2 linked regions of the Daphnia pulex genome follow. The protein of the gene in region 1 binds, or shares a complex with, the protein of each later gene. Links are inferred from orthologs where the notes say so. Each region holds a gene or a part of one and is shown in the gene's direction. Other genes may lie near its edges.

Region 1 (3,550 bases):
ATGGGAGAACGTTTGTTTGAATGGTGATAGGGGCTTACCAGAGGATGTGCCATGAGAATGTGAACATTTGGCTGGGACGCTTCTAGCAAACTATCCATATAGTCCTGAGTCAGGTTGAAGTACCCGGTTGCTAGACATAATTCGGCGTTTGCCGGTACGTTTTCTAGAATCTCGCGCGTCAAGATGTTATCCATGTAAATGTTTAGCTGCCCCATCTGGACGAAAGGGAAGATCCAGGTGTCGTAAGCAGACGGATTCGGCCATTGAAATATCGAGGACGAAACATTTGCTTTTATTTGCTTTTCAAACAAGTTGTTGATTCTCCGTTTTGCTTCTTCTGTAAATTCAAGCCGATTGGATTCAAACGGATGGTGAGGAAAAGCGGAATTCAAGTTAAGGCAGTTGTTTTCACTTAAATGAAATGAAAACTGGCACACAGTTTCTACTAGTTGGTCAAAGAAATCCACTAAATCTTTGCAATCTTCCATAATTATGTATCGATCTTGCCGATTTGTGAAGTAATCGTGGCTTAAATTTGCGCCACTGATTAATAAGGAATCGTCAAATATGTAAATCTTCATATGTTGCAAGCCAATAATTTCATTCCATCTTTCTGGGAGAATTTTCTTTAATAATCCTCTAAGTGCTGGAGTGTGATAAAAATGGACTGAACACTGCTGGCTGTAGGACTGAACTAAGGGAAGCAGCATTGTACGGGAATTGAATTGGGCACCTCTAGAGCCTCTTGTTGCATCCAACAGAATTCGAACTTTCAGGCTGGAGCCAGAGTTTTTCTTCAAAGTACTTTCAATTGTTTTTACAAGCTCATTTTCATGATTTCCTGTTCCAAGATATAAGGATGCAAAAGTGACTCTTTGACTTGCTTGACTAGTCTTTTCAATAAGTGTTTTGTAGAAATCTTCAGGATCAGACAAAACTCGAACCTAAGAAAAAATTTTACAACTATTACTAGAAGACACTAATAAAATACCTTATTAGAACACTAACCTTATTTCCGTTCACAGGGAAACAAGGGGTTTTACTTCCGAGCCATCTGAAATTTTCAAGGGTCGTTAACAGTTCCGTTCTCTGCTGTTCATCACTGTCGGGTTCCATTTCGGGACGATGCTGGAGATGAAGTGATCTCGAGACAAGGTTACGTTGCCAACCTCTGCGAGCAGTCTTGGGAAGGAAGTGCCAAGATACTCGTTGTCGCCCAGCAACGCATATCGTTGTTGAAAAAAGTATTGCTTTTTGGCAAATTAGTGACATTTACTTGTACGGACGAATGAAATGAATCGGCATATAAACAAACAGACATCTGATGGCAAAAATTAATACTAATGTGATTCGCGCAATGTTTTATTTGATTCGTTAAAAAAATTTCAGTTGACTTTATATTTTCCATTTCGAACATAAGTTAATTAGTCGATTTAAATTGCACAATATCATTTTGACAAGAATATCCACAAATATTTATATTCTTAAATATTTTGATATCGCCATAGCTTAGGCAACGTAGCAGCATGGTATAGCAGAACACGATGAATTATTGTCATTTTCAAGTGTGCTGTTGTTTCCTTTTTTTTGAACTTGATACATTAGGATAATTAAAACCAAAAGAATGGTAGACATTCGCCTTGCTTCTGAAGTGCCTCCTTTTCATATCGTCGCTGATTCTACTGAACCCAAACATCTTGTCACACCTGGCTCTTTGATCACAAAGGAAACAGGATTCATGAGGTAGATTGTTAAAAGTTTTGCCATTTTCTTGATGATAATCTTATTTTATGTTTTGCTAAGGGGTCATGGAACATACATGCAAGATGACTGTTTGTACTCCAGTGTTGCTGGAGTTGTGGAGAGAGTCAACCAACTTATTTCAGTTAGACCCTTGAAATCTCGTTATCATGGGGAGATTGGAGATGTCGTAATTGGTAGGGTTACTGAGGTTTCACAGAAACGTTGGAAACTGGACACCAATGCAAGATTAGATTCAGTGCTTCTTCTTCAGTCAGTCAATTTGCCTGGTGGTGAACTCGTAAGAAAGACTTTTTATTTGTGCAATTACACAAATATTTATATCTCATAATGCTTTTAGAGAAGAAGATCAGCAGAAGATGAATTAGCCATGAGGCAATACCTGAAAGAAGGAGATTTGGTCAGTGCAGAGGTTCAAAACATCTTCAATGATGGAGCTCTTTCTTTACACACCCGCAGCATGAAATATGGAAAAGTATAACAATAAGTTATTTAAAATATTAACTGTAATAACAACCATTTATCTGTTATAGCTTTCCCAAGGTTGCCTAATAAAAGTTAGTCCATCTTTGATCCGAAGACAGAAGACTCATTTCCACAACTTGCCTTGCGGAGCAAGTATCATTATGGGTAACAATGGATTTGTTTGGATCTGCCCTACGCTCCTTGACGATGGCGCCGGTGGATTTGTTCAAAACTTGGAGGTGCGTACTAAAAAGTCGATGTTTGTACATTATCACGTGGAAGCTAATTCTGTTGAAACCTATAGACAGTTCCGCATGCCGATCGACAAGCTATAAGCCGGTTAAGGAATTGTGTGACAGCTTTGGCGCACTGCAAGATGATGATCTATGATACCAGCATTATGCATGCCTACGAAGCCTCCGTAAATGCTGGGCTTGAGGTAATTATTTTTACATTGAAACTAAATAATTCAATGCTAACTTATATAATGCTTTTATGTAGATCAAGGATCTTCTCCTACCGGACAAGATAAAAGAAATCGCTTTAATGGTTCGTAAGCAGTTCGAAATGGAAAAAGAATAATTTAATTTTCGAATAAACATGGCTCAGGCTGAACCAGAAGTTGACATTCGATTTCCCAAACATTAATGGTGTGGATCAGTTTATTCATACTGCAGACAAAGTTTTATTCTGGGGCAGGGAAAAACATAAACGAAGAAACATTCGATAATAAAGGCGGTTTTTTTTTGTTTCCAACTACAACCGGTTTCCCAAGAATATTAAAATTTTGTAGACTTCATTTATAAGTCATCCCCCCCACAAATCATATTTACATTAAAACAAGTGTGCTAGAGAAAACCAGGATAAGATCTGCCGTAAGCACCACTCAACAAAATGCCCTGGGCTAGTTTTGAAACACCTAAAAAGATTATATAGGATAATAAATTACTAATGGACCCCGTTCCCTAGGTCCACCAAGGAAGGAAAAAAAAAAGATTTAACCGGAAGTCATGTTAAAGCGCTGCTTTAACAAATCAAGCAAATAATAATTAACAAAAAAAAAAAATAATGATAAATAGAAACAATGAATATCTAGCGAAATTCCGTGACGACGAATGGATAACGATTATGTTTAGGAGGGCTTCACGATTGGAAAATGTCCCGTGTTTTTAGATATTAGGATTCCACCTTGATTAGATGGGTTTGTAATCTTAGACGCTCTTGTCGGGTCCCAACCAGCGGCGCATGAGGAAGTAGAACACGGTGCAGATGTACAGTAATAAGAGAAGAGCGCATGTGACGGCCAACGCCAGGACGGACGTCT
Region 2 (3,325 bases), on another chromosome or scaffold:
TTGGATCCAAACATAGTAAAATAAAAAAAAACGAGAAATTATTTTCGTGTTAACTTATTCCAGATTAAGGTTTATAATCATAAGAAAACAAATTAAATGAAAAATTTTCTGGGATAACTTTACAATATTAAACGTTCCATATTAAATTATAACTTTCCTAGTCGTTAATTCTACATAGTATTCATATGGATTCAAAAACGCTACAATTTTTTTTCTTTTGAAGTTCATCTTTCTCATATGCTATTTGATTGATTTTTATGAAAAAAAAATCATAAACATCCCTTCGGATACCTTGCTAATAACGCAGGTAGCTGACATCATATCGTGACATGTGTTTTTCGAAAAAATAAAATTTTTGTCATAAAATTTGTTTGTAATTTTACCCTATGCATCTTATTTTAAAAACCCAAACCAAACCTAAAAGTTTTACCATTAAGATTGTTCTTGGTTCAGAAAGGCTACCAATAGCCGTCGCCAGGTGGCGGTTTTAGCACTGACAGGGCAATAGCTCTCTATGGCTATTGCCCTGTCGGACCGGCATGGCAATAGATTTCACGCAATTTGCTGGGACATGGCAGCTTTGTCAGGGGTATGGAGAGAAAGGTATGGGGGTCTTTCCATACCCCTGGCTTTGTTAAACACACTTTCCGTACCATGTCGAGAGTAGGCATGGTCGAGAGTACTCAAGGCATCATCTTATTGGGTAAAATGTGGCATCACGTGACTTTTGGCAACGTCTATTGGGAGATTGACTGTGTGCATGGACTACTCTAATTAAGGACGGGATTCTTCGCCTATCCTGCCTTGTTAAAGCTAGTCGGGTGGGGTATTTTCATGAAAACATTAATAAAAAATATCATTAAATTCAGTTTTTTTTGCTGATTCCAACTATAGATATAAATCTTAGTGAAATAAACTAATCATTAAGATATTATAAATTTACTTTCAGAAGTAGGGGTAAAAGGATAAAACACCGGTGCCATCTAGCAACCAAACACCCTAAGCTCTTAAGAATATACGCTACAAGGTAAAATATAGTTAGGCAGCTATGTCAGAGGACTAGATAAGAGAGTGGTTTTTTCTTTCTCTCGGTATGCATGCATGGGCATCTGCTTGCAAACTAACAAGAGCTTAGGAGGTTTGGTTCCTAGATGGCACTGGTGTTTTGCCCTATTTCAAATTTTTCGTTAAGGAATTGGAAATATCTCTATAAAAATAAATGTTAGGTATAGGGCTCTTCGGGATCTGTTTTATTTAGCCGATTTATCTGGCAACGCAGCATGGTTCGAGACTTTTTTAGGGCGAGAACGGGGAGAAGAGGGAGAATGGGAGGACACCCTCCTCCCTCCCATTCCTCCCATCCTCCCTCTTCTCCCCGTTCTAGCCCTAAAAAAGTCTCGAACCATGCTGCGTTGCCAGATAAATCGGCTAAATAAAACAGATCCCGAAGAGCCCTATAGGAACATATGGTAATTCTATGATAATTTTTAAATTCTGATTCTGATTCTCCCACAAAAAAATTTACATGGCCGACATAGGAAACGCCGAAGAATATACCGTCCTTAATTAGAGTAGTTCATGCTGTGTGCACACTTAACGAACCCCACCCGTGAGCCGCCCAGCAGTCGACGTTTTTTTCTAACTTCGAAGTTGTTCTGGTGTGCGAAAAAAATGACGAATAAAGAATCAGACAAATGTGTAATATGCACTCCCGGTAATATTAAAAAACATATTTTTTTAGTTGTCATTTTGATAAAATGTTTGCATTTTTCAGGACAACGCATATGTCTGTCGGATAACCAATATATTGGAGGAGCCGGAACTTACACAAGACAAGGTTATATCACATCATGTTTAGCAGGTGTTGTTAAAGTAACTTCACAACCTGATAAGGTTAGTGGTTAAACAGTGAAATTAGATCAGTGAAACAATTCATTTGGTGTGAAATAATGAACTTCCGAATATTATGTTCAAACTTTTCTTCCTAGAGAATCCTGATAGAGGTTAGAAGTGGTAAAGAACAGACAGTTGTTCCATCTGCTGGTGATGTGGTTACAGGTACTGTTTAAATTATGTGTTGAATTTTGTGAATTTCATCTTAAACCTTTAAATAGCCAGAGTAACACAAATAAATCCTCGCTGGGCACGATGTGCCATTTTGTGTGTTAAGGACATTGTATTGGCAGAACCCTTTAGAGGACAGCTGAGGAAAGAAGATGTGCGTGCTACAGAAAAGGACAGGGTTGAAATGTACAAATGTTTTCGTCCCAATGACATTATTTTAGCAAGAGTGGTAATTATTTGATTTTGATCATTATTTCAACTGTAAAGTGAGTATGACTTCTAAGATGAAATTTTTTTTCATGTTGCTGTTAGCTCTCATTAGGTGATGCACATTCCTATGTTTTGTCAACAGCAGAAAATGAATTGGGTGTTGTTATAGCATACAGTGAAGAAGGTACTCCTATGGTTCCAGTAGGATGGCAAGAAATGCAGTGCCCAAAAACTTATGTTAAAGAATTGAGAAAAGTTGCAAAAGTTTCGCCAGAAACAATTTCAAACGAAAATGCAACAGGCGTCTAGATTATATTAATACATGAAATTTGACAACAAAGCTTTTCGGATTTTATTTTATTGGTGTTTTGTCGACTGCTTGCGTTTCTGTTCAATTCATTTCATTTTCTCCAAGTTCCTTTTTTCTAATCATAATTTATATTCTTATAGTTTTTTCAAGCATGTAAATAAAATGAGGAAACATCGCCAAGTGAAATGGAAAAATTTGCCGAAATCTCTAGCTGTCATTTTTATAATTGGGTATTTCAATTCCTAGCGAGTTCTTGTAATCAGCATATAGAAAACTACAATGTATCTTTTCTTTTTTATGAAGAGGAGGAACTACTCTGGCATACCAAATTCATTCTTTAAACCGCCGGTTTTCATCTTTATTGTCAGATGCCGCAGTTGAGAGAGAACGTCAAAAGGCTGGGTGCTATATTGCTATTCCTCAAACTGTAATTGAAACTGAGATTCATGCTATGACCTCTAAACTGAAAAATGTTGAACAAATGGTGGAGACTCTTATGAAGGGACCAACACATCTTGGTCTTGATTCAAATCCCTGGCATCTTCTTCGAATTCTTAAATCAGAACTCCCTTCTCATACTCAAGAACACTCCACTGCTTTAAAAACATTGGCTACTTCACATTATAATGGTATCTTCAAATATATTATTTACAGATTATGGTTATGGTTATAAAGTGTAAAATAACTGCTGATTATTCTTTATATAATATAGTTGGATTATCCCAGCAAATTGCCCAAGCA

The links.
Region 2: exosome complex component RRP4-like (region 1) and exosome complex component CSL4-like share a complex: the UniProt entries of both Caenorhabditis elegans proteins name them as parts of the RNA exosome complex. The link is inferred for Daphnia pulex from reciprocal best matches to the Caenorhabditis elegans genes exos-2 and exos-1.

What each region holds. Positions count from the first base shown.
Region 1 is NC_060023.1:8,701,202-8,704,751, reverse strand, and holds exosome complex component RRP4-like, read left to right. Parts: upstream 1-1,510; 5' UTR 1,511-1,624; coding exon 1,625-1,743; intron 1,744-1,803; coding exon 1,804-2,041; intron 2,042-2,101; coding exon 2,102-2,236; intron 2,237-2,294; coding exon 2,295-2,465; intron 2,466-2,530; coding exon 2,531-2,665; intron 2,666-2,727; coding exon 2,728-2,808; 3' UTR 2,809-2,841; downstream 2,842-3,550. Other genes in the region: CDP-diacylglycerol--glycerol-3-phosphate 3-phosphatidyltransferase, mitochondrial-like, read right to left, coding at 39-944, 1,009-1,272; uncharacterized protein LOC124197887, read right to left, coding at 3,438-3,550. UniProt on the Caenorhabditis elegans protein: Non-catalytic component of the RNA exosome complex which has 3'->5' exoribonuclease activity and participates in a multitude of cellular RNA processing and degradation events. Involved in regulation of antisense ribosomal siRNA production.
Region 2 is NC_060026.1:7,115,860-7,119,184, reverse strand, and holds exosome complex component CSL4-like, read left to right. Parts: upstream 1-1,559; 5' UTR 1,560-1,578; coding exon 1,579-1,714; intron 1,715-1,774; coding exon 1,775-1,893; intron 1,894-1,988; coding exon 1,989-2,058; intron 2,059-2,114; coding exon 2,115-2,293; intron 2,294-2,376; coding exon 2,377-2,583; 3' UTR 2,584-2,612; downstream 2,613-3,325. Other genes in the region: protein SERAC1-like, read left to right, coding at 2,747-2,814, 2,888-3,213, 3,297-3,325. UniProt on the Caenorhabditis elegans protein: Non-catalytic component of the RNA exosome complex which has 3'->5' exoribonuclease activity and participates in a multitude of cellular RNA processing and degradation events. Involved in regulation of antisense ribosomal siRNA production.